4 separate regions of the Mus musculus genome follow, and regions 2, 3 and 4 are each reported to be linked to region 1. Evidence: microRNA targets listed by miRTarBase, many of them from high-throughput screens and not tested one by one. Region 1 holds a microRNA gene; each other region holds the end of a gene's coding sequence.
Evidence for each region. The annotated mature microRNA mmu-miR-148b-3p reads UCAGUGCAUCACAGAACUUUGU and lies in region 1 at 3,695-3,716, opposite strand. An mRNA with a match to its seed (bases 2 to 7 or 8) in the 3' UTR can be bound and repressed. Matches are read on the target gene's strand: a 7mer-m8 pairs with bases 2 to 8, a 7mer-A1 pairs with bases 2 to 7 and ends in A, and an 8mer does both.

Region 1 (7,950 bases):
TGCTCTTATTTCCAGATCCTAAGGCCTTGCAGGTCATTTTCTCAGTCACCCAGTCTCTCTGGCGTCCTGAACACAGGTGGGCATGGAACGTGACCATGCTAATAAACAGGCACTGCTCATCTGAAAGAGGGTTGAATGCCCTTGGAAGTCACTGCAGTCCCAAAGCAGCAGCTTAAAGCAAGCCACTCTAAGCCATCCACACACAGAGCAGGACTGTGCATTCACACACACTGGTTCTAAGACAGACATCATCCAAAAGTTCACATATGAAACCCTTCCTCGATATATATGAACCCTCACGACTTAATCGGATAGGATAAAAATCAACCTGAATCTTAAGTGTGGCAAACAGAAAAATATTTGAGACGTCCGGAGTCTGAGAGGTAGCTAAAATAACAAGGGGAGTTTTCTTCCACTACCAAGAATGGAACTAAGTACTCAGTGCCATGGGGCATGTTTGTGTGCAGGGAGCCCTGGGTCCCTGTAAAACAGAACAAAACCCCAGAATGACACAGACTTGCTGATACTGGCTCTCATGAAGCCATCACAACTTAGCTGTAATGGTTACACTTTAACACCTTTCTTCAATTGCAAACAGATGACTTAGGAAAAGCTATTGAGCCTGGTGTTCTCTTCTCTATTCTCACAACTTTCAGAAGGAAAAAGGAAAGTGAGAGCAGCTGGCATTGTGCACAGCAGGCCTCCGCCACTCACAGAATTTGAGGTCTCACCAAGACTACTTCTCACTACCTCTGGTCCAAGGCAAGACTATCTATCTGCTTTGCTCTCCTGGTCTTAGAAAACTCACCCATCTTCAAAAATATAAGTTTAACAAAGACATGAGGCAGAAGAAAGAATTACTGCAAAGGATCCAGAGACTGCAGCCTGACAGAGGTAAAGTGAGGCTCCTGGAGAGGTGGGGCTTCATAAAAAAGAAGCAACCTTAGCTCAAGAGAAGTGGGTATTAACCCAGGCTTTCCTTTTCTTTTTTTCACATTCATTCATCTATCTATCTATCTATCTATCTATCTATCTATCTATCTATCTATCTATCTATCTATCTATCTATCTAGATAAGGGCTCTCAATATGTAGCCCAGCTGGCCTTGAACCCTCAAGACTGCTTCCAAAGTGATCACTCCCCGCCCCCCATGTGTATGGTTGTTTTGTCTACATGTAAACTTGTGTACCACTTGCATGACTGGTGCCCTTGGAGGCCAGAGAGGGTGTCAGAATCCCTTAAAACTGGAATTAAAGATGCCACGTGGATGCTAGGATTTGAACCTGGGTCTTCTAGAAGAGAAACCAGTGGATTTTGTTGGTAGTGCTGGGTTGTTTGGTTGTTCTTGTTTTGTTGTGTTTTGTTTTGTACACAGGGTCTTACTATGAAACTCTGGCTATCCTGGAACTCACTGTGTAGACCAGGTTGTCCTTGAACTCAACTCAACTTGAACTCAACTCAAGGTTGCCTGCCTTTTGCTTTGCTACTGCTGGTATTAAAGATGTATACCACCAGACCCTGCTTAAAAGCCAGTGTTCTATTTCTCTGTATAGCTGTGGCTGTACTGAAACTCTCTATGTACTGAAACTCTCTATGTAGACCAAGCTGGCCTAAACTCAGAGATTTGACTGGCTTTGTACCGGAAGTCACTGTGATTAAAGGTATGTGCCATCACCACTAGACAGAAGCCAGGACTCTTAACTGCTGGCCTATTTCTCCAGCTCACTAACCCAGTCTTTTGAAAATGGTATAAGAGCCCAGCAGTTCTGGCTCAGAACTTGGGAGGCAGAGGCAGGCAGATCTCTGAGTTCAAGGCTACAAAGCGAGTCCCAGGACAGCCAGGGCTATACATGTAATTATTGTCTCAAAAGAAAAAAAAAAAAAAGAAAGAAAATGACCTAAGAAATGTAAGCTTTGAGCCGGACAGTGGTGGCGCACGCCTTTAATCCCAGCGCTTGGGAGGCAGAGACAGGTGGGTTTCTGAGTTCGAGGCCAGCCTGGTCTACAGGGTGAGTTCCAGGACAGCCAAGGCTATACAGAGAAACCCTGTCTTGAAAACAAAAACAACAAACAAACAAAAAGAAACGTAAGCTTCGTTTTCCCCACTTACTTTTTTTATCAGGTAGGCTATGCTATGTAGTCCCAGTGTACAGTCAAGTATAACCTTAAAGCTAATCCACCTACTACTTCCTAATTACAGGTGTGTGTCTTCATGTGCATATGATTTGAATTCCTAATGATGGTAATTTTTGATGAGGTCCTGTCTCAAAAAACAAAAAGAAACAAACCAAGACATTCACCAATTTTTGTATTTTGTTCATTAATTCATCTCAAGTGCACAGAGCAATGCCTGGCGAATCCCGAGCTCTCAATATTTGTTCAAAGTTGAGAATAAAGTTTAAAAAGAAATCTCTCAGCACGATGATTTATTATAACTGGATTTTGCATCTAAGTGGATTTTGTAGTGAGATTGTTCTACGATGATATTATTGCCAACCCACCCTCTCCTCTGACACACTGAAAACTGCCACCCTAGCCACACTGCTCTCTGGAATAAAGGACAAGAGCATTTCCTCTGCAACTGGGGAACTGTGCTGTCTGGCATAGGGAAGTCTTCTCAAGTATAGTCTAAGAGCCACCAACAGAAGTTGTTCTACTAACTCCTAGCTCCATACAGAAAGATCACCCCACAGAGCAGGCTCTGTTCTACAGCCACTTGGCTGTTCAAGTACCAAAATGGAGCCCTCAATGGGAACGAGTTTTCTTAATGGGAAAAAAAAAATCCTAACAGAAGGAAATGGTTGTGCCCCTTCATCCACACTCACAGCAACCACACAGGGCTAGCTGCCCACAAGTTGCAACTGGACCTTAATCTGGCATTGGTGACTGTTGTTGCAGCCAGAGTCTGGTATTCCTGGAAGGAATGGGAGCACACACCCCCACCCTCACAGAAGCCAAAATCCCTAATGGCAACCTGCCAAGTGGGAGAGCCAGTGTTCTTGTGGCCAGCAATGTCTAAGCACCTACACAGCCATGCTAACAACAGAATACAACCCAGGATTCTGCTCCTGACTCTTTCACTGGTTGCCTAGAAGATATGATCAAAGAAACCTTAAAACAGAAACACTGGGTCTTCCTGAGCAAGATAAAAGACAGGTTAAGGGAGAAAGGAGAGACCAGACCAGCTTTCAGGCACTGGAGTTCTGGAAAAAGAGGGAAGGCAGAACAAAGCCTGACCGTTTCAAACTTGCAAAGGAAGACCCACAACAAGGAAAGCTGGGGTATTCGGCAGGAGACAGAATGCCACTTAAAGGCATCACCATCATGCTGTAGTAGAGCCAGCTCTCCTCACTTCTGTTGTAGCTGGCCCCACTCCACCCTATGCCTTTACCTCTCAGGAGTGGGGAAGCCTGAGAATTCCCTTCATATCAGAAAACCAGCCAGTTTAAAGGCTCTAGAAGCCATTACTAATAATGTAACTTCATTCTAAGCTTTGCAAAGGACATGTTATAAATAACTCCCAGGTGCTAAGAAATGAGCTTCCTGGACAATGGGACTGGGCTTTGACCTTGTGATGCATTAAATACTGACTCTTGAAAAAGACCCTACAATCTTAGGACCATATTCAAAGGACTGAAAAGATCTATTCTTCCCTCTCACTCCCCAAATGGGCAGCTGCTAGAAAGCTTTCGAGACAAAGTTCTGTGATGCACTGACTTTCAGAGCCACAGCCTGAGTGTATAACAGAACTTCACCTCAAATGCTAAGGGTGCCTGTAAGTGGTGGGTAGGCAGACTGGCTGTGGGAGGAGGAGTGGCAGGGATAGATTTTCGTGTCTGCTTTTATTATCAAGAAAACTAGAAAGCTGTCTTTGGGACAGCTGAAACGTCATGCAGAAAGCACCTAGGCTGCTGCAACTAACTCTCTGATCTCCATCAGAGTCTCCAGAAACCTGGTGGGAACATCAAGTCTGGAGCACCAAGGCCTATACTGGGAAGGCTAGAGGAAGAAGATTCCTTCCCAGTGCTGCCCTCTGTGGACCTCCTGCCTGACACACAGCTTCCTCAGGATTACAGCCCAAGCAAACAGTGCCAGAAAGGCAATGGTTTGGGGCCTAAGCTGTTTGGGCAGAGTGCTCACCTAAGGTGTGAGACCTTGTGCTTAATCCACACACAAAACAAACCCCCACCAAACTCGATTTGTATGTATTTTGCATTTTAAATAAAACTAATACAAACAGGTTTGTAAAAGAAAACACGGAAAGCTAACGGTAGTGACACATGCTTGTAACCCTACATGCAGGAGGATCAGAAGTTCACGGTCATCCTCAGCAGCTTGTCAAATTCTAGGACAGGCTGGGACAAATGACCTTGTCTCAAAACAAATACAAACCAAACTACGGAATTAAGTCTATTGGCTTAACTAATATATATGGGATAGTAAGTGAATAGTTGGGTAAGATCACTGTATGAGATCAAAAAGCTTGGAGGAACAGTGTCTACATAGAGCAGAGAGACAGGATATTTTAGAACTACAAGTAACTATTTAAGTCTCTTAGGTCACAAAACCAAAAGGCCTAAGAATCCAAAGAAACAGCTCAGAGGTTAAGAGCGTTTGCTGCTCTTGCAGAGGACTCAGGTTCAGATCCCAGCTCCCAGTTCCAGGGAGTTCTGACACCCTCTTCTGGCCTCTGAAGGTACTGCATGCACACGGTGCCCATATATGCATAAAGACAAAACACTTGTATATATAAAATAAAACTGAACCGAAAAAAAAAATATATATATATATACACATGCATGCATGCATGCATGCATGCATGCATACATACATACAAACAAACAAAACAATATGGCTGAGATTCCTGGAAAGATCTGTGTTCCCTACTTACAAAGATATTCTTGGGATACAGTAAAATTCTTGGGCTTAGCAATAGATCTATTAATTAAAAACTGTAACAAGATGGTCTTTCAATCCTGCTTATAAAATGAAATGGCTGGTGAGATGGCTCAGTGGTTAAGAGCACCGACTGCTCTTCCAAAGGTTCTGAGTTCAAATCCCAGCAAACACATGGTGGCTCGCAACCATCCGTAACAAAAATCAGATGCCCTCTTCTGGAGTGTCTGAAGACAGCTACAGTGTACACACATATAATAAATAAATAAATCTAAAAAAAAAAAAAGAAACCTAGAGAGTTAAAACTAAGAGAGCCCTTCGTAGTACACACACCTGTAACCCAAGCACTTAGAAGGATGAGCAGGAGTTGAGAGGCCAATCTGGACCACATAGTGAGTTCTAGGCCAGCCTAGGATAGAGTGGGACCTTGTCTCAAAAGCAAAACAAAATTAGAAGGAGAAATTCCTAGATACCACTCCCAGCACCACAGGGCTATGCAGGTATTCTGTTACCTAACCCTGAGTTAAAATTTTTTAAAATTAAAAGGTATGCTGAGTTTGAGAGCTCTAATTTACTACAGAAGCCTACATAGTTCAGATGAAAAGAAGATTTAGCTAAGTTTTGACAAGGATAGCATTTAGATTTGGGAAACACAGCTGAGGGGCTTCAGGGGTGGATTCTGTGCTCAGAATATGCTTTAGACTGTGCCACAAACAAAATAATAAACACATTAAAAAAAGAAAGAAAGAAAAACTCACAGGGCTGAGGACATGGACCAACAGTTAAGAGTGCTTACTGCTCTTGCAGGTCTGGAGTTTGGTTCCCAGCATCCACATCAGACAGCTTATAACTGTCTGTGACTCTCAATTCCAGGGGATCTGACACCCTCTTCTGGCCTCCACAGGCACTCACACACAAGTGGCATTCACACATAGGGACACATTAAAAACCAAAACAACAAGAAGCCCAGAAAGTAAGACCCATGAGGCAAGCATAGCTGCACACATTTTTTTTTTTTTTTTTTTTTTTTGGTTTTCTTTTTTTTTTGGAGACAGGGTTTCTCTGTATAGCCCTGGCTGTCCTGGAACTCACTTTGTAGACCAGGCTGGCCTCGAACTCAGAAATCCGCCTGCCTCTGCCTCCTGAGTGCTGGGATTAAAGGCGTGCGCCACCACACCCGGCTGCACAAATCTTTTTTTTTCTTTTCTTTTTTTTTTTATTACGTATTTTCTTCAATTACATTTCCAATGCTATCCCAAAAGTCCCCCCTCCCCCCAACTCCCCTACCCACCCATTCCCATTTTTTGGCCCTGGCATTCCCCTGTACTGGGGCATATAACGTTTGCCTGACCAATGGGCCTCTCTTTCCAGTGATGGCCGACTAGGCCATCTTTTGATACATATGCAGCTAGAGTCAAGAGCTCCGGAGTACTGGTTAGTTCATAATGTTGTTCCTCCGATAGGGTTGCAGATCTCTTTAGCTCCTTGGATACTTTCTCTAGCTCCTCCACAAATCTTAATCGTAGCACTGAAGAGGTAGAAAAAGGGTGCTCTCTGAAAGTTCAGGGCCAGTCTAGTCTACATAAAGGGTTCCAGGCCTGCTGGGGCTATATAATGAGACCCTATCTTAAAAAGACCCATGGGTCCTGGAGAAATTATCTATCTTATATGAAACCAAATTTCGGTTGTAGAGGGGAAACTAAACACATATTCTGGAGGTACTGATGGCAGAAAGTCACAGTAGGAAGAATCTTCTTAGGAACTGAGACTATGGTTCTGTTATAGTATTTCCCTAGCATGCATGAGGCCCTGGGTTCAATCCTTAGTATTACTTAAAAACAGACATGGCATCACAGTCTGTAACCCTAGCAGTCAAGAGGCAGAGGTTTGAAGACTCAAAGTTCAAGATCATCAGCTACGTAAGTTCACAAGCCTCTGTCTACAAACAAACAAACCAAAAAAAAAAAAAAAAAAACCCCAAAACTGGAGTGATAGTTCAGCTGGTGGAAGTACTTGTGCATTTAATCACATGCACTGTCAGGGTAGCAAAGATCCCTTTTAGCCAGCCAGCCAGCCAAATCAAAAAGGTAATCAACAATAACAACTCAGCTAGGCAGTGAGTGGTAGGTGGATCTCTGGCCATCCTGGTCTATACAGCCAGTTCTAGGACAGCCAGGGCTACACAGAGAAACCTTCTCTCAAAACAATAACAACAACAAAACACAAAACAAATGAACAAAAACCAACTACATGGCTGGCTGCTGAGGAGAAATAGCACCCGAGGTTAGCCTCCACCCTCCACACATATGCACACACATTCATTATATCTGCACACGCATGCATGCACACACACACATCTTCCTACCCCATACAGACATACAGATAGGAAACATGGAGAGTCCAAGCATGGGGCAAAACTTCTGCTAGTTGAAGGAGCTGGCATCTCTGAATTCTGGGTAAGTTATTAACTCAAAATTTCCCCTCCCTTTCTCTGATACTCAACTTCCTCATAGGAGAAGTGAAAGGCTGGACCTAGATTAGCTAGGGTTATGGCCTTTTTTAAAAAAAAAAAAATTACAGCAGACCCTTGTGATAAGCTGATAAAAATTTCTGAACTTTGTCCCCAAAAAACAAACAAACACCCACACCACACAGGTGAGACTGAACTAGGTTTAAAATTCAATCCTCTGAAGATAAGATTATGTGAAGAGCCCGGTTTGGTGGCCAACATCTTTAGTCCCAACCCTTGGGAGGCAGAAGCAGACTGATCTCTGTCAGTCTAAGGACACACTGGTAGACGTAGTGAGATCTGGGCCAGCCACAGCTACATAGTGAGACCCTGTTCAAAAAAGCCAAACAGTCTTTTGAATGTGAAGAGGAAATGAATGATTTTCTGCCTTCAGTCAGTTAACAACTTCAATAAAAATATGTGGCCTTTGTAAGTTAATATGGCCAAGGATCTCACACAGCCAGCAGGGGGAGTAAGGGTCAGCACCATAAACCTCCAGCTTTCGGTGGCCTCCAGCTTTGGTGACCAAATTGTACAAGTTAACA
Region 2 (7,950 bases), not on the chromosome of region 1:
CTAATGTTCTGAATATAAAAGAGCTAGCTGCTCCCACTGCTAGCCAGTGGCTGCTCTACAGGAATGTAAGTTCCAGGATTAGCAGGTGTAGGGGTGTGTGTGTGTGTGTGTGTGTGTGTGTTTGAATGTCTGTGTGTGTTAGCAGGTGTAGGTGTGCGTGTGTGAGTGCGTGCGTGTGTACATGTGTGTGCATGCGTGTGCATGTGTGTGCGTGTATGAGTGTCTGTGTGTGTAATGATAGGGATAGAGCCCAGGCTTCATGAAAAATAGCAAGATGTTCACCACTAGGCTTAGTTACTCCCCAAATCGATTTTTTATTTAAAAAATTTTGTTTTTGAGATTTATATTTAAGAGCAACTTGCCTCACTGGATATGTGTGTAGCATATTCATGGCTGGGTGCCAGTGGTGGTTGGAAGAGGGGGAGTCAGGTGATCTGGAGCTATAGATGGGTCTGAGCCACCATGAGGATGCTGGGAATTTAACCTGGGCCCTGTGCAATAGCAACGTGTGTTCTCAGCTTCGGAGCCATCCCTCCACACTGAATGGGTTAGGTTCAGCCGGAGAACCCCGATTTAGGGTACCCAGGGCAGATGACTGCTGTCCTAAAGATTGTCCTTTTTAAAAAGCGACGAACTTACTGTTTCTGATGGTCCCATCTTCAACTCTGAATCCCTCTGTTCCGATTTCATTCCTGGGAGTCTCTGGTGATTCCTGCTCTCCGTCTCTGCCTCCCAGAGTGTCCCAAGGGTCCTGATATCCTGGTGGTCCTGCTGTCAGTGATGGGGGCCATCCTGCTCATTGGCCTTGCTACTCTGCTCATCTGGAAGCTACTCATCACTATCCATGACCGGAAGGAATTTGCTAAATTTGAGGAAGAACGAGCCAGAGCCAAGTGGGACACAGTGAGTGGCTGTGCTGAGCTTTGAGTTCTCCGGAGTCTTTGGTTCATGAACCCGAGGTTGGGGCAGGAGATGCTCAGTGGTCAGCCAGCCTCGAAACTGGGAAATGTTTTGACTGTTCTTTTATCTGTATGTGCTATGAGGCCTCCCAGTCCTCTACCTTACAGTGACCACATGTCCTGATCACTGAGCTCACACGGGATACTATGACAAAGGGAGAAGCTTAATTCTCCAGTTGAGGGGACAGGGCAAATCTGTATCAGGGACATGTAACACACTGTACAGAAAGTGACATAGCAGAGAACGTCTCCTGAGGGCTAAATGCTTCTGACACTTTATCTCCGTAACAGCCCTTTTGATGGACAATATTATCATTCGGATCCTATAGTTAAGGAAACTGAGGGCAGAGAAGTAAAGCAGCTTGCCTGACAAAGGAAGGGATGGGGCAATACAGGAAGTACTTTCGGAGTCAGCCTCTTAGATGTCATGGCCTTACATCTGTTTACCTCATTTTTCTCTTTTCCTTCAAATGAGAGGTGGTAGCTTGCAAACCAGGATCCTCTGGAGACCCCAGAATGCTGTTTAACCTGATTTAATCCAATCAAACGAGCATCTAAACAACAAAAGCCCCATGCATGTGTGTATGGCCATGGTGTGTTTTCAGAGGTCAGGGGACAGTCTGCAGGAGTCAGGTTTGCCTCCCACGTGGGTTCTGAGGACCAGTGTCAGCTGCATCAGGCCCGGCAGCAACCGCCTCTGCCCGCTCTGCCCGCTCTGCCAGCTCGCTAGTCCGTCGTCGGATGAGCATTTTTCTTTGAGAACTGTTTATTTAATTTTAAGTCCAACTTCACTTTATTTTTCCTAGACAGGCCAAGAATGTACAGCGTTTGAGCCGCTGAGGAACTTCTCTAGATTTCTTGACATGGAGGGGATGTTCTAAATTTCTTGACTACCATTAAGGGGGATTCATTTACTTTTTGTTAGGAAGTAATTTGGGAAACCTGGTGAAGGCACACAACAGGTCTGTGGGTAGCAACTGGCCCGAGAGATGAGATAAAAACAAGTTAGGAATAATTTCAGCAAAAGCCGGGCTCTGTGTTCTGACCTCACCTGCTACATTTTCCCTTCTGGCTCCCATCGCGGGCACTGCCTTAATGAAGGGAAAGAAAGAGTAGGGACAGAAGAAGAAACGGGAGAGGCAGGGCAAACAGTATACTAGTCTGGGACTGACAAATATTCTTCCACCCAAAGTGACTGAATTAAAAACCCTTAGAAACAGTGGCAGACCAGCAATACAGCATCCCTCTCCCCTCCTTCTCTCCTATCTATTCCCATCCTAAGAGTTGATGAGTAAATGTAAACATTGGCTGATTTCTGAGATGACGTTTAACCGTTTGGGGTAAGGAAGTGCATGGAGCTGACCACCGTTTCTCCTCTCTTCCCTCTGCAGGCAAACAACCCGCTGTATAAAGAGGCCACCTCCACCTTCACCAATATCACCTACCGGGGGACTTAATGAGACCATCTTCAGATGACGCCAGGACCGTGGGACTCTCTGCCATTATGTTTACAGAGGACATTTGTGTGTGTGTGGGTGTGTGGGTGTATGGGTGGGATTTGGGGCGTGGGTTGGGCTGGGCTGGAAGAATGTCAGTATGTGGGAATGTATCTCTCTGTGTGTACTTATGTGTGTGACGAGTGTGGGGAAATGTGTAATTTAAAACTTGTGATGTGTCTCACAGGCAGAGCTCCACAGCCTTTGTCCTCAGGGGCCCTCCCCAAAGGATTCTTCCTGCTTAGCTTGAGGGGGACTCATGATGCCCGGCAGGTGCTCATTACCTCTGAGAAGCTAGCTTGCTTTGTCAGGCCATTCTCCCAGAAGAGAAGGGCAGGGCTGAGGTTCCCCAACCCCCATTCCAGAGGAAGTGGTGTCAAGTCTTGGTTCTATACCAACTTTGTAATTTTCCGGTTCTTGGGGCTGACTGTCAACAGCTGTGGTAGAAAGTGCTTGACGTTGAAGCTCAGCTGTATCGTCTGTGCCTCTGCCCACCTCCCTCCCTTCCTCAGGCTGATGGTGGAGTTAGGGGAGAATCGAGTCCTCAAGAGTTGCCTGTGGCTTTTGCCAGCACCTCAGTCCTGCTATGGCTCTCTCTCTCATAAGGAAAGTCCTTGTCACCTGGCTCTTTGGCCTGTTAAGGGTGAGGATGGCAAGGCCACTCAGGGGTCATGCATGGCCTGGGGGGTGTGCCAGCACCTCCAAGATCATAATCACAGCCATTCAGAATTGCCTCATTGGTAGCTCTTCCCAGGAGATTTGTGAACATGTGTCATTGTGTCAACACCATCTCTTACCTCCTGCTTCTACACCCTGATGGCCACAGACTTGTGCTATGTGCTGAGACTCTCTCTCATGGTCAGATGCTATGGGCTGAGGCTCTCTCTCATGGTCAGATGCTATGGGCTGAGGCTCTCTCTCATGGTCAGATGCTATGTGCTGAGGCTCTCTGTCATGGTCAGATGCTATGGGCTGAGGCTCTCTGTCATGGTCAGATGCTATGGGCTGAGGCTCTCTGACATTGTCAGATGCTATGGGCTGAGGCTCTCTCTCATGGTCAGATGCTATGGGCTGAGGCTCTCTCTCATGGTCAGATGCTTTCTCCTCAGGGGAGAGTGCAGTGGTCAGAGCTGGAGGTCCATCCCCACTCTCCAGGCTTTCTGCTCCTCTTTCCGGGCACCTCCACACACCTCATCCTATGCCTCTGTGTGCTTGCTACACCCATCCATGGGGGTGCTTGTGTGTATCTACCTCTTCGGTGTCTTGTGAAGGAGTCCCCCGAGTCTCCCATGAGTCTGTTGAACAACGTGCCAGGGAGGAGTTGAAAGGCCAGTCAGAACTGCATGTGTGGCCTGTTCTCCTGTGGGCTGGACAACCTCATTTTATCTCAGCCTTTAATCTGGGAGGCCACAAGTGCAATTTTATTTTATTCCCTATGGGGACACCCAAAACTATGATGAGGCCCGATCACTCTAGAGGAGCACGTATATAAACATACTTGCATTATTATATTTATAATTTTGTATGATGACAAAGGAGAGCATAAAAAACCCCACACAGAGTGTGTGGCAAACATTCTTAGTAACTTGCCAGTCAGTGGCTGGGTCTGCAAGGGGCTTCCCTCTTCCTGGAAGCATGTGAAGATGGGTATGTGGACACACTGACCCTTTCTTGAAGAGGTTTCTCGACTGGGTTCTGGGTTCTGTTGGCCCAGCAAGCATGGTTTGCTCTGCTGGCATTGACTTAGATCTAATGTTAAAAATCAGTGCTTACCACCCAGAGACAAGAGGCCTATAAACAGCATCTTGATGATCTGAGACCTGAGTCCTGGCCTCGGGATCGCTGTCAAAACACCTGAAAGTTAATTCAGAAAAGCCATTTCCCCCACCCCTCTGGAGTTCAATATTCTTTTGGATTTGGTAACTTGGAAAGTCTATTTCAAGTGTCACTATTCTTTTTTTCTGAAAGACAGGGTCTCATGTATCCCAGGATGGCTTTGAACTTGCTATGTAGCCAAGGTTGACTTGAACTTCTGATCCTTTTTCTACACTTCTCAGGTGCTACAATTACAGGCATGAGTTATCCTGCCTGGCTTATGCAGTGCTGGGAATAGAACCCAGGACATCACACATGCTAGGCAAGAACATTACCAACTGATCTGTATTCCCAGCTTTAGTATCAACATCCTAAGATGCCGAGAGTAAATACGGTATCAAGCCTGCGGTCCAGATTCTGTGTGTGTATAAGGAGGCTGGAATGTTGACCAGTAGTAGAACAAGCAGTTAAGGAATGTCCTGGGTTTGATTCCCAGCACTGAAAACGTGTGTGTGTGTGTGTGTGTGTGTGTGTGTGTGTGTGTGTGTGTGTTTTGTGGGGGGAGAGGTGGTGTTGCTCCTGTTTGTCTTTCAGTTTCCAGACTGAATGCCTTGGCTTTCACGAGAGCAGATGCTATTCTTAGAACTTGTCTCAGCGAGTCTCATTCCTTCTCAGACTCCCTTCATCTTTTGTTAGTGGGTGCATCTGATGTAGCACTTAGTTTTTATCCAACTTGTTCTTTCTTGTTCACTCTGCATACAGTTGCATCTGCATACCAGGGAGGACCTTCAGTAAGGAGTGGCTGATCCAGATGTTGGTGTGGTGAGCAGGCCTCGAGTACAGGAGAAAGCCAGCGACTGTCCGGTTGTGCCCTTGGGTTACTCTTGGCTTAGGTGGTGGGAGTACAGTAGAGGGACAGGGAAGATGGTCAGAGATCCATCCTTTAGCTACTGAGGCAGAGTCCGTGAGAGTAGAGTGGGGTTTTCTTTAGAGAAGACTGTTTAGATGAGGAAACTAGCAGGGAAGGAAGAAAATGTATTAGAAGAGTGAAAGGTGAGTAGGAATCTTGACGGTTTCTGGAATGAGGCTTGTGGTGCTTGGGCGGCAACGCCGGTCAGGACTCGGGCATATCTGTAGCTGTTCTCTCCGGAGGCTGAGGAACAGTCTGAGTGGTTTCCAGGGGATGAACATCTAAAATTGTGCTGGGAATGAATGCGCAGCACAGAGCGGCTGGGCCCGTTCTCTTACAGGTGGTTTCGGTCCAGTCTCTGTCTGAGGACAACAGGAAGAGACAGAGAATGCCTGGCAGGTAGCTCTGTTCCCGTTCTTTCCCTCAGAGACAGTCATTCTGAAGCTGCCCACAGCAACATCAGAGTCTTTGTCCATTTTTGGTTGAAATTGCTTACGCGCCTTCCTGACACCCTCCCCACCTCCTCTGAGTTGTGTAACAGAGAATTAAATGTGCTTTCCAAAAGAACTGGCCTGAGACTACCCCATGTTGTTAGATCTGTTTTTGCTGGGTGCAAAGAGTGTCACTGCTTCCTTCCAAAGGGACAACTGTATAGTAAAAGCAAGCTTCCGGATGTAACAGGATGGTGCCTGCTGTGGGAGCTGGAGCTGGCTTCTGAGTCCAGAGCTTTGCTATTTTCAAAATGAGCAGGTTACTACTTTCTAAGGCTTTATTATTATTATTATTATTATTATTATTATTATTATTATTTTAAATTGGGGGTTATTTAGGATCTTTTGCAAACAAAGTAGAACACGTCGTCAATATAGTCCAGGTTTTGCCTGTAGGGATCACGAGTAAAATCTCAGTGACAAATGACTTGCAGGGCCGTTTACATGCCAAACTTCTACTTAAAATGGCTAGTGGTAAATTATAGTATCACCTAGAAAGTTTTGTTTTTGTTTTTGTTTTTTGTTTTTTAAATGCAGTTGAGAGGCTGGAGAGATAGCTCGGTACTCAAGAGTGCTTTCTGCTCTTTCAGAGGTGTGGAGTTCAGTTCCCAGCTACCTTCAACTCCAGGTCTAGGGAATCCATTCAGGCTCCCGAGGGAACCTGCATACATACGTATATACACACAGACACAGTCAGATAGAAACACACACACGCACACATACACATACACCCTCACAAAGAAATGAAAACTGACAAGTCTCAGAACCACAACCATATGTCCTGAGAACTGTCGAGTAGTCCTGCTGCTGTAGGTGTGTGTGGGTACACAAATCTGGGGAGTGCAAGTGAGACACTTCCCAAGGCCTCTTAATACAGTCCCGAGACACGGGAAACCAAAGGTAGAAGAGGCTGCTGCCAGGGAGAAGGACATACCTTTTCACAGGAAACCTTGAAGAAAAAGTATACACTAAAATAATGTTTGGAACATAGCACGGTAAATACATAAGCGGCAACAGAGCTATTGTCAAGTATTCTGTACTGTACACAACCGATGTGTTGTACTTTGGCAGCAACACATTTACATATGAATAACAAGCATTTTTGATAGCTATGATAACACCTAGTGATATGAAAATTCAGCTCTCTTACAATCTCATGAGACCACTGTCATGTATACAAAATGTTGTCATGTATCATGTAAGGATTGAATAATAAATGCAGAGACCCACAGCCATACATTTTACACACACACACATACACACACACACACACACACACACACACACACACACACTAAATAGGTTCCTTGAACACTCAGCTGGCACATTTAAGTGGTTAGGTATCACCATCAAATCTCCCCTCCCCCGTCCAGAGCTCAGGGACCCCATGGAAGAGAAGGCTGACAGAGTGTAGGAGCCAGAGGGGATGGAGGACACTGAGGAGACAAGACCCTCTAAATCAGTATGAACTAAACTCCTATGAAGTCTCAGAGACAGAAGCAGCGTGGATGGGGCTGTATGGGTCCACACCAGACGCTCTGCATGTATATCACAGCATTCAGGTTAGTGTTCTATGGGACTTCTGAGTGTGTGAATAACTGCGCCTCTGATTCTTGTGCCTTCTCTTGGGCTCTTTTCCTTCAGTTGGTTTGTCTTGTCCAACTTTGACATGGTAATTTTTTTATTATATTTTATTTTGTTGTATTTTATTATCTCATAGAAGCCTGTTCTTTTCTAACAAGAGACAGAAAGGGAGTGGATTGGGATGGAAGGGGAGGTGGGGAGGGACTGGGAGGAGTAGAAGGAGGGGAAACCATAATCAGGATTTATTATGTTAGAAACGAGTCTATTTTTAATGAAGGGGAGGGGGTAAAGAAGGAAATCTGAGGGCAGAGCCCAGCAATCTGTGTTTTAATGCCCCCTCCCAATGGTTTTGCTGACTGCTTGTTTGAGAGTAGCTAACTTTAGAATGCTTGATGATAGCTATGTTGTTGGTGTATCCATGTCCTCTTGAGGTAGATGTTTTTTTTTTTTGTTTTGTTTTTGTTTTTTTTTTTTTAAGTTTATTTATTTATTATATGTAAGTACATTGTAGCTGTCTTCAGACACTCCAGAAGAGGGAGTCAGATCTTGTTACGGATGGTTGTGAGCCACCATGTGGTTGCTGGGATTTGAACTCTGGACCTTCGGAAGAGCAGTCGGGTGCTCTTACCCACTGAGCCATCTCACCAGCCCCAGAGGTAGATGTTTTATTATTAATTAACTCAGTTACTACACTG
Region 3 (7,950 bases), not on the chromosome of region 1:
GAGTTACGGCAACCAGGCAGGGAATCTAATTAGGCCCTTGGCTTTTGGTTTGGGCAGTGTATTGAAGAATCTGAAGTCTTGACCCAGCTATCCTGTTTCTCTTCTGATTGCCTTCACCCAAGTTAGATAGCTGTGTTGTACATTGTGGTTTTGTTGTTGTTTTCCTGCACGGTAGGAACCGATAGACTAATAACAGTATCTATCCCGTTGAGTCACTGAGAATTCACAAGCAGAGAGAAAGCGTTGATGTGTAGCTAAGGCCACAGTGATTGATGTGTAGCTAAGGGAGTGTGTAGCAGCTCCCCTTAGTTTTTTGTTAGCAATCTTCTCATATTTGAGGTCTGTAGTGTTAATACAGAGTGCACATAGGACTCAGGTCATCTTTTCTGTGTCTCTCTGTCAGGGATGTGTGAGATTACTGAGCATCATCAGGAAACTTAAGAGTTGACACCGGAGCTCTTATATAGTCCGTTTCTCAAGAGAGGTTTGCTCCCGGGTCACCAAGAATGGCTTCTCAGTGAGTCTCTCATTTGCCATCTTTAGCTTCCTGAGCTCAGAGCAGCTGCTAACTTACCTGGACTCCCAAGAAATCTGAACACGTATTTGAGTTGTACACTAAGTGGATTATTTTACAGATGGGTAGATGTGACGGGAGTGAAGGCTTTACAGCCCTCTAGGTCGTTTGCTTAGAAGGCACTTGCTGAGTGCTTTTATTTTCACAATGTGTTTTGCAAGATGGCTTCACAGAGCTGGAGGTATATTCTCATTGTGGTAAGGAAGAGCTGGCTCCTTTACTTCACAAAGCTTATGTGTGCTGAGGAGAGACTAAACTCCTTTGGCACCAGGGAGACATAGGCAGGTGGATCTCTGAGTTTTAGGCCAACCTGGTCTACAAGTTCCGGGCCAGCCAGTTCTCTGTAGTGAGTCATCTCAGAACAAACAAACAAACAAACAAACAAGATTAGTAATTCCGTAGAACACGTGTGAAGATAGACTTGGTGTTGTCTTTCCAGAAAACTCTGGAATTAAAAGAGCACAGCAATTAAAAGAGACCAACCTGGAAATTAATAAAAACAGACACATGGTGTATCATCCTGTGTGATTTCCTTTTTCTTTTGGAAGGGAAATCTTTACTTTCTCTGAACGCAGAGTACTGACTCCAGTGTTTGTGCTGTCGCTTGCCTGAGTTTTCGCCTGTCTAGACAGGCTGGGAGGCTGGTGAGGGTTGCTGCCTAGTGGGCCTAGCTGCTGTGAGCCTTCAGTGTGTTTTGTTAATGAGCCACTGTGCCTTGTGCTTCCAGGAAGTGGGCCGATCCAGCTGTGGCAGTTTCTTCTGGAATTACTCACTGATAAGTCTTGTCAGTCCTTTATCAGCTGGACAGGAGATGGCTGGGAATTCAAGCTTTCTGACCCAGATGAGGTATGTAATGAGTGACTTGGGAGTCCTGGGCTGAGAATGGGCGAGAGAAAATGCTGGGATTGTGATCCTGTAGGCCCAGATTTCTAGCTCAGCTCTGCTGCTTGCTGCGTGTGCGACCTATGATGCAGCCAGCCCGAGCTTCTGTCTCATCATTGGCAGAGCCCAAAGTGTGTACACTTTCTGGGACAAACTGATGTATATATAAGTTCCTGGTACAGAGTTGGTCCTGCCCTCTGTCTAGTCCCTGGCTCTGTGCATCTGGAAAGATGCATCCACTCTGATCGTTTTCCATCCTTTCATCCCAGAGTGTTGAATAAATGGTTGGTATATGAACGAAGAGATCTCTCTTCTGGCAGACATGAGAACGTGTCTCTACCCTGGTCCAGAAAGGATGCTTCCTACTGGTGGAAGCAGAGGTGCCAGCGCTCTCCTCCCATCCTCTCCCTTCTGCCCAGTTCTGTGCTTTCATTTTAAGGATGCCTGCTTATAATGTGGGCCAGAGGGATGTCTGCCCCACGGCTCTTCCTTTTCCTTCAAGACCAAGTGTTTTAACTGTATTCCAGAGGAGTTCAGAGTCACTGTTTGAACAAGTAAATGGAACTCAACACTTGGACACTTGAAATTAGAAGTTCTATTGCAGTCACATGTATGGGATAGGGACATTGTCCTATTGAGAGGAATACTCTGGGCTCAGAAAGACAGCACATATTCTCGCTTACATGTAGACACTGAATTGCTGATTCCACAGACACAGAGGATAAAAGAGTGACGTATCTGAGCATGGCCAGGAGGAGGCTAAGGGGTTGGGGAGACCCTGGTTAATGAGCCCAAGAATGCAGGTACAGGAATTGGCAACTCTGGAATCTCTGTGGTACTGTAGGGTGCCTACAGAACATTAGCAGGTATTTCAGAATCGCTAATGTGGGTTATTTTGCATGGTCCCCAGAAAGTAATGGGAAATGCCTGTGATTGAAGACATGCCATTTAGCCTGGTCTGATCACGACACAATGCACAGCTGTATTAAAATGTTGCATTGTTCTGCCTACATCTTTTGAAATAATCTCAGAATGTCCATGGCTCCTAACTATACATTCAATGTATAGTTATTATAAACAATTCAAAATATTTTTTAAAAAAGGAAATGAAGGAATAAGTCAGACATATGCACACACACACACACACACACACACACACACACACACACACACACACACACACATGATGTTTGTTTGACCACCATGATGGATGTGAAGACTTGTATAGACACTTGTATTTAATTTTATTTTTATTACAGGTGGCCAGGAGATGGGGAAAGAGGAAAAACAAACCTAAGATGAATTATGAGAAACTGAGCCGTGGCCTTCGCTACTATTATGACAAAAATATCATCCACAAGACGGCGGGCAAGCGCTACGTATACCGCTTTGTGTGCGACCTGCAGAGCCTGCTGGGATACACCCCTGAAGAGCTGCACGCCATGCTGGATGTAAAGCCGGATGCTGACTAGTCATGGACAGACGCGCAGAAGGAAGGGGCTGGGGGAACCCTGCTGAGACCTTTCAAAGAGCAACCCTGTTGGTTGGACTCTTCATTTTTAATTGTTATTCAATGTTTTATTTTCCAGAACTCATTTTTCACATTCAGGGGTGGGAGCTGAGGGAGCGCCGCTGTATTCCATTGGCCATTGGTGGGCCGGAAAGAGGAGGTCAGGACCTGCGGGGTGGGCGGGGCAATAGCTCCTGAGCAGACTTTCAGAAGGGAGAGGTCTTCTCAGAAGCCTGTTGGACCTGGCTTGCAGAGGAAAAAAAAACTTAAGTGTCCGTTTTTTTTTTTTTTTTTTTTAAATCAAAGAAAAAAAAATTCATCTTGAGTTGTGGATCTACTAGTGGGAGGAATGATCACATTGAGATGAAAGAGATTGATGAAAGCCAGTCAGTTTTGTGGGTGGGCTGAAAACAGTTTCTTCAGGGGATTACTAAACTCAAGAATTATTAACCTTTCTACTTTTTGAAACAATGATGGACTTTGATTGAAGGGGTCCAAAACTGTTTTTATGTTGAAGTTTATTTTATTAAATTTTGTGCCAGTATTTTTTTTTCCTTAAAAAAATATCGTCTTAAGCTCTAAGGTGGTCTCAGTATTGCAGTATTGTGAGTTTGTTGTTATTTGCTGGCTGAGGACTCTTGTCACAGTGAAAGACAACTGTTTATATAGACCCCATTGGAAAAATCCCAGTTCTGTACTGAGATCAGAGACCCCAAACTCTTACAGCTAAAGGAAACGAATGCTGATCTGGGGACAGGGGGACTGTGCGTGTGACTTCCACCTGCGGTTTGTAAAAACTGTTTTCCTTTGATTCACTGTCAGGCTTTGGACTTAGTGTTAGTTACGGGGCGTTAAGTCTCTGCACTGAATGTATTCTGCAGCTCTTCTATGGAATCGTCGGCATCATAGCACAGTTCAAGTCTTGGAAACGAAATCCAAGGAGCAGGATTAACCTGGGTTTTGGTTAAACCGCTACCCGAAACATGGAAGACTCAGAATAAAAGCCGTTTGCATGGGCATTACCCCGAGGGTCTTAAGGCCTCAATGCATGCCATTCCAAACTAACATTCTCAGTTCTCCTCTACTTTGTCTTATGTTCCCCCCGGCATCCCTCATTGCTGCCCCTCCCTCATCACTGATCAGTGAAAGTGGAGTGTAATGCATCCTGACACGTGACTGAAAGTGTAGTTTCAGCCATCACAACACAAATCCAAGAGTCCAGACTTGCTAGGGCTCGGAGGCCACGGCAGTGGAGAGGGTATTTCAGTAGCATGTGACTCGGCCTCCTTTGAAGACTTGGTGCTCGTCAGGTAGGATTTCAGGTGAGACTGCTTGCCGGGAAGTGGCAGGGAGCACTGGCACTTGACCTGTTACCACCTCAGCAGAGGGCAAGCCCAGGTCAACTGCGGTGAGAGGGAGACGGAGAAAATACAAGGGAAGGCGCTTAGGTAAGGAAAATAAGGTGGCCCGAGACAGTTAGATAGATGTTTAGTTTCCTCCAAGTTTAAACTCAGACTTAATTGAGGCAGCCATCATCCTGCCTGATGGGAGAGGAGACCTGAAAATAAGCCATTGTGGGTTAAAAAAAAAAGTAAGGAGACATGCCTGGGATCATTAGAATCCCTTCCACTGTATAGCTGCCTAGTTAAGACAGTGACAGTGACATCCCTGAGAGAAGAGAGGCAATTGGCTGAGGTGGGCCTCTCCAGGCTCACCCTTCGGGGTTTGTAGCTCCCTGGTATCATCTTCCAGGAGAGTTGATGGCTGACTCCCACATTCCCTTGAAGACTCTGAATTACTAAGACTATAACTCTTGTCCGTGGGTGTTCTGTACTGACTGAGTGGAGCATCCCCACAAGGAAGCAAAGGCCAAACATTCCAGCTATATATTTTGATCTTACAAATGCAGGTGCCTTAATGAAGCTCTCAAAATATTTAGGAGCTGCTCAGGGAGTGTTAGGTGGGATCATTTGGATTATGCTGTTTTCTCTTATGTTATGTGATCTTTGTTGGGCACTGACAGTGTGAGTGTGTGTGTGTGTGTGTGTGTACATTTGTATAAAGTTGCAGCTGAAATAGTACTGAATTTTCTACTTAGAGTCTGTTCACATTTCCATAATGGTGAATGAAAGAGTACAGCCGGGGCTGGTATTGTTGTTTGCTCTTTGCAACAGGGCTTAAAAAAATCACTTCCCCAAGTCTTCACCCTTCTCCATATTGGGTTCCTGCTGGGAATGCCCCTCCTGAGAGCCTACCACCTGCAGTCCCCTAGCAGAGAAGACATAAGAAAGTGTCTCCCACACTCCTCAGCGTGCTGACTTGCCTGCCTTGATGCCCTTTCTCCCTAGGTCCACCACTTTTCAGGATTTGTAGATAGTATATTAGTCAGACAGCTTTGTTGTCCATCTGGCCAGATGCTTTCCCCCATCTCCTCCGAAGGCCAGAGACCATCCCAGGAAGAGTGGCGGGTGGTTTATACACTGGAAATGTAGCAGCATTGCTGCATTGATGCTCTTTTAAAACACGTTCACTTCACAGGAAGGATGAACAGATCTGACCTAGCTGGGCGACTCCATCATTTTCCCAGAGAAATGCTTTAACCTGTGTGGCTGGCTTTGGGCTCAGAGGCGGGGCTAAGGATGCTCCCTGCGGAGAGCTCTGATGGTGTGGCCATGGAGACCTTGTAAGCATTCAGGATCAGAGATGCTCTTCCTCACTTTGGAGACCAGCACTCTGGGTTTTAAAGCATTAACCTTCATGGTGAAATCACACCTTCTCTCTCCTAGCCATGCTGTGCATGCGGCCTTCTCTGTTGGGGTCTATATAAACCTGTTGAACTCTTACGTACATTCCAAAGACGTTTCAAGGAACCACAAGTATATGTATACAAATACATATATGAAGTATATATGTTAAAGTGAATTTATCTCTATCAGGAATACTGCCTCAGTTATTGAATTTTTTTTAAGGATACTTTTTTTTTTAAAGCTGAGAATTATTGAGGTGAAAAAGATGTTATATTGTGTTTGACTTTTTCCAACTTGTATTTTCATATAATTTATATTTTTTAAATGCTGAAAATTTAAAAGCAAGATTTAAAAAGGAAAAGCAGGTGCTTTTTAAAAATCAGAACTGAGGTAGCTTAGAGATGTAGCGATGTAAGTGTCTTAAATGTTTTTTGTTTTTTTTTTAAAAACAAATGCAAAAAATTCTTATGGGGGAGTTTTTGGTTTGTTTCATTTAAGTAGCTGATGCTGGCACATCATTTTGCTGGAAAATTTTTTATATACTGTAGGCTGATTTCATATTGTATTTTAAACTGTGTGAAATTAAAGAAACAAAGAAATTCATTCATAATGAGGTGGCTCTGGCTTGATTCTTTCCTGTCTACGTCGTGGGAGAATTAGGAGAAATCAATCAACCAGAGAAAAGCACAGAAGAAATACAGGGCAGTTCTCCAGATCCTGCGGCTTAGGGTCATTCTAGATAAAGGTTGCCTAATAAAGGGTTAGAGGTATAGGGACACAGGATTCCTGTCCCAGTGATTCCCTGCATTGTTTGTTTCCACCTGTGCTGTTGCCCCCACCTTCCTTGTCAAACATCACTGTTCATGTCTGAAGGACCAAGAACCATGTGAAGAAAAAAACTGACGACTCAACGGGTAGTCACTGATGGAGTCCAGCTAGGTCCAGTTCCTGATGTTCATATAGACAGACCATGATGTTTGGTTTCTTCTGAAGAAAGCTGTGCTCTTTGGCAGTTAGAACTCATCACATCCATCTCTTTGGCCTCAACTTTTCCACTGGGGCTAGGCACGAAGAAGGATACTATCTGTTAGAACCACTCCAGCCTATGTCATGAATAGAATACATACTTCCAAGTGTTTTGGGACAGGAATGCTTAGGGCTGCATTCTGTATGCGGGTTTTTTTTTTCTAGTTGAAACTGTAGAAGGTGGATGTTTTTAATTAACACCAACATTTGCAACATGAATCCCAACTCACAGCTGGAAAGAGAATTTTTGCTGAATTGTTCACAAAGAGAACTGTGTTTTTGGAAAATCTGTTTCTTCAGCCCTGGAACTTGAGGTTTGCTGAGCACACTTTAAACACGGACTGTGTGGTCTAGTGGTCAGAGCCCAGCTGGCCAGGAGAGTGGCTTTGGTCTTGGGTATCTGGTAAAGCCACCACTACTCCTGGACAGATTTTTTTTGTTGTCGAGGTGAGGTCCTCAGATTTTGTCCTTCTCAGCTGCAAACCTGGGCAAAGCCCCTACTCCCAAGCCAACCAGAAGCCACATCTGAGATCCTCTAACCCTGCATAAACTATTCAAATGGGTTGCAGCTTCAGTCAAAGCTTTGGACAAAAACTGATCCAAGTTGACGTTATCTCTCAGGATATCTGACTACACGGAGACCACAGTAAACAGCACAAGGCACATGTGAGTGAAGTCAGCTTAGTCCCTTCTCTCTGCATCCAGAAGCCACAGATCCAGTGGGTTATTTTCAGGCAGTTGGGCTTTGGTGCTCTCTTAATGACACCAATAAGCCACTGTATGGAAGCCATTGTGGAGGGAAAGGCAGTAATATAGCAACCATTGCAGGAGTTGAGAAGGATGGGTGGGGTAAGGTAAGAGCTACTATTGACAGGAGTCACTTAAGAGAAGGTGGGCATGCACAGACTTCACATGCTTTCAGAAGGTAACAAGTAAGATGTGCCAAGTGGTTTGAATCCTTGTAGCCATGAAATTATATCCAATTCCCCAAACTTCTGACCATGCTTCCATCTCTGAGCTGATAAGCGGATACGTGCGGATCAGTTTTCTGTAGCTATCAGAACATAACTGAGGTAAGTAGCAGAGAAAAGCATTTTCTTTGGCACAGAGTTTTGGAGCCCAAAGTCCAAACTTAGTGGCCCTATGTATATGACCTCTGTTGAGGACCTGATGGTGGGGGCATGGTGTTGGGTGGGTGTAGACAGAGACCT
Region 4 (7,950 bases), not on the chromosome of region 1:
AGGGTCTCAAAGTCAGAGCCTATTGGGAGCAGGACCGGAAGGAAGGGCTCTGCTTAACTGAGGGCCAACCACACTCTTGCAGTTTCTCAGAGCTGGCTAAACTCAGAGCCCAGGGTGGGGGCAGGCATCCAGGTGGCATGGCCAAGAGCCATGTGTGATGTTGGAGCAGAGAGCATTTCAGGGGAGGAGGGCTTCCTGCTATGTGAACGGGATAGGACTTGGCCACTCAGAAAGTGTGGTTGTTGCCAAAGTCCCTCCTGGTCCCAACCCCAGTTAAGCACAGCCTGCACTGGGTCCCCGATTTCCTGTTCACCCATGGACTTTGTCCACACTGAGAAACAAGGGCTCTTTTCCTCTCCAGGAAGAGAAGCAGAGTCTAGACGGCTCTCGATAGCTCCACTTAGCAGCTGCACATTAAGTACTGTGTGTGCCAGGCTCCATCTACCGAACTGACTGCTGAGCAAGGCCTGACTCCTGCCCAGTGCACTGCAGGCTCCTCGGGGCCTGGACAGTATATACTGGGCTCACGGCTCTCCTAGTGCATGGCATGGGACAGGTGTACAGAGCGCTTTTATATATGGAGCAGTTGAGTGGATGACTGGGTGGCTGGGAGACTCAGTGATCACTGCTACTCAGAACACAAGAGTTAACAAGGACAGTTGTGTGGATCTCCTGTGCGTTTTTCCAATTTCACACTAAGCACCAACCGTGAAGCTTTTAGAGAAACAGGGGAGGCTCAGATGTCCTACACCACCCAGCAGGAGGCGCCTCACCCCGATCCCGACCTGTGTCCCCCGCAGGTAGCCTGAATGTGGATGAGTTCCGGAAGGTGCTGATGAAGACGGGTCTGGTGCTGGTTGTGCTGGGTCACGTGAGCTTCATTGCAGCCGCCGTGCTCCATGGTACCATGCTTCGCTTCGTAGCCACCACCAGTGACGCTGTGGTTCTACAGTACTGCGCAGTGGACATCCTCTCTGTCACCTCTGCCATTGTGGTAATGGCCTGGCTGGGAGGGCCAGCAAGGGGGAGGGGCTGCGTCCCAGTCAGAGCCCCAAGCATATACGGTATAACCATATACAAACTGTGCAGGCACTCAAACGCTCTCTGCCTCAGTTTTGTCCTCTGTAAAATGGGGGTGGCGAGAGTATGTGTGCACAGCAGAGGTTCCCTGTGAACATCTGAGGGAGTCATCCACAGAAGGTGCTTAAGCGAGGGGCCTGGCACATGGCCAGTGTGACAGATATTCACGGTGCGGTGGTACCTCAGCTTAGCTAGGGAGGGTCAATGAGGGTTTCATGGAGGAGTAGACCTCTGAGCTGGGTATTTATGGATGTGTAGGCGTTCCCAATGGACTGTAATTAACAACCCAAGTATGCGGCGTGCTGGGGCTGGCTAGCAGAAAGGCATGCCAGGGTGGCATTCCATGTACAGGCTGTGTGGCAGGTGCAGATGTGTGGAGCTGGGAACGGCTGAGATCTGTGCTGAAGACACTGACTCAAACAGTCAGACAGGAGTTTAGCACTAGGGCAGACTACATGAGCCACTTGATATAAGCCGTAGTCATTGTGATACTGGGACATCTTTGTTTGATGAATGAATAAATGAAAGAGTCTGGTGTACTTAGGTGTACAAAAGCTCTTCTCTGCCGGTCAGCTAAGGTGGTTGTAGACTTGTTCATCTCTGGGAGACCTGCTGACTCCTGACAGAGGGACTTTTCTCTCTCTGAGCTGGTCTCTGCCTCTGACAGCCTGGTGGCCTCCAGGCCTGGTGAACCAGGCTCTGATCTGTGGAAGTTCCAACGGCAGGAAGAATGCAGGGCTATGTGCCAATCAGTATCTGTTTTGCTCAACAGCCATTTGAGGAGGGCATGGAAGGTGGCCAGCCCAGGGTCAGAGGGCTCTGGGGCTGGAACACTTCACCTTTCCCCAGTAAAACACTCCCAGCTGCCCATGACTGGGGGAATCACTCCACTCCCTTGGATGTGGTTATCTTCCTGTGAGCGCATCCTACAGAGAGGGGCTCAGCCCTGAGAAGTTGAGGTAATTTCTTGTGGCTGCAGAGTAAATTAACACTACCACTATACCCCCAGTGGTACTGTGTCCACTACAGAGATCGACACTAGGAAGGCGGATAGGCTAAATGGAGCCCTAGGGATCTAGAGGTCAGCCACTGAGCTGAATAGTGTGCAGGAAATCCTGTCTCTGGGGATGTAGGGGCATTAGGACTGAGGAGCAGGGCGCCTTGGAAAGGATAATCTGCGAGTGTGCATGAGGTCCAGTGAAATGAGGGAAGACAGTGGTCCAGGACAGACCAGAGAAGGCCAGGATTAGGTCGTTAAGAGCCTGGGATAATTTGATGCTCTTAGAGGTCTCTTTGTTTTTTGTGGTACTTAGGATTGAACCCCGGCTTCACACATGCCAGGCAACTATTCTACTCCCAAGCCCCATCCTTGGCCACCTCTTAAAGATTCTGAATTCTGCTTATGATGTGTCCTGTCTGTCTAAGATGGGGCCTCACTACATAGTCCTGGCTGGAAAAGAACCTTTTATGTAAACCAGGCTGGCTTTAAACTTGCAGCAATCCACCTGCCTCAGTGCTGGGAGTGTAGGCATTTGCCACCATGCCTGGTTTCTGATTTATATCATTTTGGTTTTAGTACCTTGTTAGTAGAATGCATTTCTTCCAGTCTTTTCCATCCTAAGGAGATATGCTGTGGGTCCTGGGGCCTAGCACACTCCCGGGCTTATGCCCGAAAACTTAGGACACACAGGACCCTGTCGGACTCAACAGCTTTAGGCAGTGCGGAGCCCTGGAAGGCCGTAGGGAGTGGGAGTTTATGAGGCCAAAGCCAGAGGCCAGGGTGGGAGTGGAGACTGCAGAACCGTGGAAGACGTTGGGGGGATGTGACCCCACGAGCTGCCCTCCAGCACCGGCTGATCCCAGCTGATTCCAGCCTCCCCACAGGTCATTGTTGCAGGAATTTCGACCATCGTCTTGTCACGCTACCTCCCCAGCACCCCCTTGGTATGTGGCATTTCCTCTGATGGGACTGTGGGCTGGGCCAGCAGCCCTCTTGGGGCCAAGAGTGATATCCACTGACCAGTGCTCTTTCTGCCTAGCGCTGGACCGTGTTTAGCTTGAGTGTGGCCTGTGCTCTTCTCTCTCTGACCTGTGCCCTTGGACTCCTGGCCTCCATTGCAGTGACCTTCGCCACCAAGGGTAGAGCACTATTGGCGGCCTGTACTTTTGAGAACCCTGAACTCCCAACACTGGCACCTGACTGTCCTTTTGACCCTACTCGAATTTATGTGAGTGCCTCGTCCTGGAAAGGGTTGGGAAGGACTCTTGGGTCTACCTGTACCCCTTTCCCTAATTAGATGCTTTTGCCCCTGGACCCCTCAGAGCTCTAGCCTGTGCCTCTGGGCCATCTCTCTCATATTCTGTCTGGCGGAGAGTATGTCTGCCGTGCGCTGCGCCCAGCTCATGCATGGACTACTGGAACTAAGGCCCTGGTGGGGGAAGAGCTGCCACCACACGGTAAGTCACCACCCCCACCCCCCATAGTCCTGGGAGGCCCCTGGATGGTCAGCCTCACCCCTTCTGAACAGGGCCTCACATAACTGGAGCAAAAGTTTTCTCAGCACTACCAAAGGGCTCCAAAGTCCAGAGAGGCCGGATGTGCCAGCTAAGTCACACAGCTGATGTCTGGCTCTCCTAATCTTGAGGAGAAGCACTGGTCTTTGGGGATTATACAGGAGACAGTTGGGGGAGGAGTGGGTTCTGGCCTGTCATGAATGACTGATAGTGCTGTCCTCCCCTGTGCCCCAGAAGCCCTTCCTTCTTCCAATTTGAGGGTGTCCTGAAGATAGAGACCCCAGGCAGAGGGAAACAACCAAGTTCCTGTGTCTGCAGATACAAGCAAGCCCAGAGCCCCTGGATGCTCATGACCTATTGAGCTGCGCCAGTTCTTGCAGCTGACCCTCTGACACTTCAGCAGCGCCATGGCTACTGAGGCACGTGACCACACCTGTATTGACCCGTGCCCAACCAGCCATGGAAGTTTAGTGGGATCCAGGATTCCTAGAGCACGCCCATGAAAAGTCAATGGACTACTGGGGACGTGGGAGAGGGCTTTGAGCGCCCTCCCCTGGCCACCGAGTACAATGCACTGAAACAAGACTTTATTTTGAAGTTATTAAAAAGAACCAAGATGCTCCGTGTGGCTGCATGCAGAGGGACATGGGGCTTGGCCGGGGGCCTGCGCTTCCTTCCCACACAGAATGCTGTGGAGGGGCTCTGCCCATCTGTCTGTGGGCCTCTGTGTGTGTGTGTGTGTGTGTGTGTGTGTGTGTGTGTGTGTGTGTGTTTGCGTGAGTGCACGAGAGAGAGAGGTGAAATACAGAGTACAGACGGGGTAAATCTGTGGTTATCTAAGTGCAAAGAGGCAGGTTGAGTTTGGGGACCCCCAGTTGGAATCCTGGGAGTTTTGTTTTGTTTTACCATGGCCTCCAGCCAGCAAGAGCTGGGACAAGAAGTGTTCTTCTGCAGGGAAGTAGATCAGGGAACTTCTTCAAAGCCCCACAGCCCAGAAATCATCCGTGGCTCCCCACCAAACAAAAAGACTCTTCACCTTGGCATGACTCCCCACCTCCCTCCAGGCTGAGGACCACCCAAAGGGGACCTACCCGCCCCCCTGCCCCCGTGTTGTGGAAGATCCTCCTGACTGTGGGTGGGTGTAAGATGATCCAGCTGTCTCACTAAAGAATACAGAACCTGACCGGAGGGCTATCTCGGTCCCACTAAGGGAGATTCTGCCTCTTGGGCCGTGGAGACTAACAGCTGTCTTGCTTAGCCCCTTCCTTGCAGGTTTCACTTCTCCAGAGGCCCACACACACACACAGTGCAGACCCCAGAAAGGGATCCCCAGTCTGGCCCCCAGCCTGGATAGACACGAGGGAGAGGAAGCTGAGAGCCGGAGGGCCGGTGAAGGCAGGGAGGCGAGCTGGCTCCTCTCAGCTCAGAACTGGGAGGCGCTGCTGGGATCACACTGCAGCAGGCGCACGATGGATGGGTCGCTTTTGGCTCCGCGGATGAACTCCTCCAGCGACAGCTTGCCTGCAGGGCAAAGGGAGGGCTGTAAATGAGGAGAAGGTGGCTGCGAAGCCAGGCAGGTGGCTCAGGAGAGGGAAGGAGGAAGGCTGCCCACCCTCCTCCACCCCTATCACTCCCCCCCAATCTCCCCCCCCCCCCCCCCCGCCACTCACCGTCATTGTTTGTGTCCATTTGGCGGAAGATTTTCTCAGTCCTCTTTTCCGGGGTCGACTCATCCTCGGGCATTTTCATCACGGACGAAACCATCTTGTAAATGGCCTGTGGGATGGAGGATCGGGAGGGGGAGAGGACATCAGGGAGTAAAGGAGGGCTGGGTTAAGCTCCCATCCTGCGCGCTGTCTCTTATAAACATCCCAGGGTCCTGCTCTGCTGGTCATGGAGGAGGGAGTAAGGAAAAGTCTGGAGAGGCTGAAGAGTGCCCTGGGCTAAGGCCCTTAGAGGGCCGGCCAGGTGGGAATTGCTGATGGAGCTGATGAACAAAGCCACTACTACCTGAAAGCTTCAGGTGGGTGTCAAGCATTTGGGGTGCACTGAGTCAAGGGAGATGTTGGAGGACCTCCAAGCCCAGATAGCAAAGTGCCTAGAACGCCAAATGTAGGCACTTGCTCCTCGGGTATATGTTTGAGCCGAAGGGTTGAGTTAGCGCTCCCACTCGGTAACCGACAGGGGGCGCTGAGCTGAAGGACATGGCACTGTGGTCTGCGGCCGGCAGGGGGCTCAGAGCAGCCTCGAGGCAGCTGGGACCTAGAAGGGGCGGGAACATTATGCAAACCAATGCAAATGAGCACCTGCCACGGGTCCAGGGACAGCCTGAGCTCTGCATGGCTGAGGGCGGCAGCTGCCACGTGTAGGAGCTCCAGAGGCAACACGAAGGAGAGTTGCTGAGCTATTGTACAGAGCACGGAGTGCTCGGTCTGTGGGACGGGCTGCTTCTGCTCCCTGGAGCTCAAAGGCCAGACTAGTCACTTCGAACCTCCAATTTTTTTCACAGCGATGCCTCCTCCAAGAAGCCTCCTTTCGTCCCCCCTCCCACCCTCTTCTTGTCCACCTTTGTCTCTGCGCTGCTCTTTTCTGGCCTCTTTCCTTCAGATCTGTCCCACACACTGCTTCAGAAGGCTCTAAACACAAACCCCCACTACCACATCCCCAAACCAGCAGGCCGCCCCCTTATTTCCTGCACACACAGACCTCCTTCTAGGCCCACCGAGCACCAGTTCCCTCTGGATGCCGCCGCCCACTTCTTGGCTGTTCCGTGTACAATGCCTTTCCTAGCAAGGTCGTCTGTGATCCAGCACTGGGTCAGGACATGTCAGCTGCACAGAGCCTCCAGGGTGGACACCTCTCAGGAAGTAATTATTTCCCTGGAGGACTGTACCTGCTTGCTACCATTCAGATGAGAACAGTAACTCTGGCTCTTTCTAAAAGTCCCCAAATCCCAGTACAGTGCTTTGGCACATGGCAGGGAACTCCCTGTTGAAAGGCCACTGTCACCACCCACAACTGTCTGTACCAAGTCCAAACCGTTTGCTTTTGGCATTCAGGATACATCAGAAGCTGTCCACTGCTGGCCTCACCGTCACCAGGCCTTGCTCGCTGGAGGGGTGATTCTGCCACAACTGCACACCCCTGGGCCTTTCCAGTTCCTCAACGTTGACAGCCACTGCCTGAGCTACCATGTATCATGCAAGCACTATGGGCCAGATCCTACGAGCAGAGAGACAAGGTTTCCCTCTGTAGCTTTGGCTATCCTGGAACTCACTCTGTAGACCAGGCTGGTCTCGAACTCAGAGATCTCCTGCCTCTGCCTCCCGAGTGCTGGGATTAAAGGTGTGCACCTCAGTACCTGGCACACATGCAGGATTTCTAAACTGTACATCAACTCAAAAAAAAAAAGCATGCATCGAGTCTCCCCTTTCTGGTTTGGGAAGGGAAGGGGTGGAAGGCACCAGCTCAGAGCTTGCTCCCTCTGAGCTGTGAATACAGTGGTTCCCAACCTTCCTAATGCTGCAACCCTTTAATACAGTTCCTCATAGTGTAATGACCCCCTAACTACACAATCACTTTTGCTGCTACTCCATAATTCTAATTTTGCTACTGTTGTGAATGGCAATATAAATATCTGTTATGCGGGGTATATGACATGGGAACCCCTGTGAAACTGTCATTCAACCCCCAAAGGGGTGGTGACCCACAGGTTGAGAGTCGATTGATGTATGCTTGGACAATTTGGAAGAATAAACAGCAGGAGCTCTGGAGTGACATCCTGGTCCATTCTGCATTTGCTCGCTCTCTCTCTCTCCTTGGAAAAGAGCTTAACCACTGTGAACCTCAGTTGCTATCTGTAAAATGGGAGTGCTGCGTCTATCTCATTGGGACTGTCTGGAGGATTACAGTGGCTGGCGTAAGTGGTCACTATATAACAGCTTATACTGTCATTATTCATCGACTGTGTCTTCAGGCTTTTCGGTCCTCTGGACTCCTAGGTGTTCCCTTTATATACCAGTCCCTGACCTCATTGGTGCAATCTGTGCCTTAATCTCTCCTGTTGGAGTGGGAGCTCCATGAAGCAGCTTCCTCTTTCCTCCTACTGTGCCATCACCCGGTGTAATAAGGCTGAGAAGGGAACAGTGACTTATCGGATGGCCATTCCCCCTGTGACAACCCTCCTAATTAATCGTCTGGGTCCCTCTCAGAGTCTCGCTGGAGCCTACTTGTCATTAATCAGGCCCCAGGGCTCTCAGAGCTCTGTCTGCTCCAGCTGTCTGGAGCCTCCAGGGTGTCAGAGCGGAAGTCAGGGTCTAGAGGGCAGATGCTGGGTTTTTTAAAAAAAAAAAATTA

Region 2: miRTarBase lists Itgb3 as a target of mmu-miR-148b-3p. Seed matches in the 3' UTR shown: 7mer-A1 at 4,766-4,772.
Region 3: miRTarBase lists Ets1 as a target of mmu-miR-148b-3p. Seed matches in the 3' UTR shown: 8mer at 3,827-3,834 and 7mer-A1 at 4,980-4,986.
Region 4: miRTarBase lists Hpca as a target of mmu-miR-148b-3p. Seed matches in the 3' UTR shown: 7mer-m8 at 4,899-4,905.

The regions. Positions count from the first base shown.
Region 1 is chr15:103,280,951-103,288,900 of GRCm38, reverse strand. Mir148b (microRNA 148b) reads right to left here and starts at 3,776; the gene lies at 3,680-3,776. All of the region lies in intron 1 of Copz1 (coatomer protein complex, subunit zeta 1), which reads right to left. It overlaps Gm41406 (a long non-coding RNA gene), which reads left to right. Exons shown (of 5, transcript XR_003951562.1): 4 at 657-894; 5 at 2,201-2,539.
Region 2 is chr11:104,664,730-104,672,679 of GRCm38, forward strand. It overlaps Itgb3 (integrin beta 3), which reads left to right. Exons shown (of 15, transcript NM_016780.2): 14 at 737-903; 15 at 2,351-5,744. The coding sequence ends at 2,416. Among named protein-coding and RNA genes, the nearest start is that of Efcab13, 22 kb to the right of the region's middle.
Region 3 is chr9:32,751,498-32,759,447 of GRCm38, forward strand. It overlaps Ets1 (E26 avian leukemia oncogene 1, 5' domain), which reads left to right. Exons shown (of 10, transcript NM_001372534.1): 9 at 1,302-1,420; 10 at 2,716-6,323. The coding sequence ends at 2,928. Among named protein-coding and RNA genes, the nearest start is that of Gm3331, 28 kb to the right of the region's middle.
Region 4 is chr4:129,107,411-129,115,360 of GRCm38, forward strand. It overlaps Hpca (hippocalcin), which reads right to left. Exons shown (of 4, transcript NM_010471.4): 3 at 5,265-5,370; 4 at 4,160-5,115. The coding sequence ends at 5,018. Tmem54 (transmembrane protein 54) reads left to right here. Exons shown (of 6, transcript NM_025452.4): 2 at 801-994; 3 at 2,965-3,024; 4 at 3,120-3,308; 5 at 3,403-3,537; 6 at 3,913-4,216. The coding sequence ends at 3,978. Among named protein-coding and RNA genes, the nearest start is that of Tmem54, 5.9 kb to the left of the region's middle.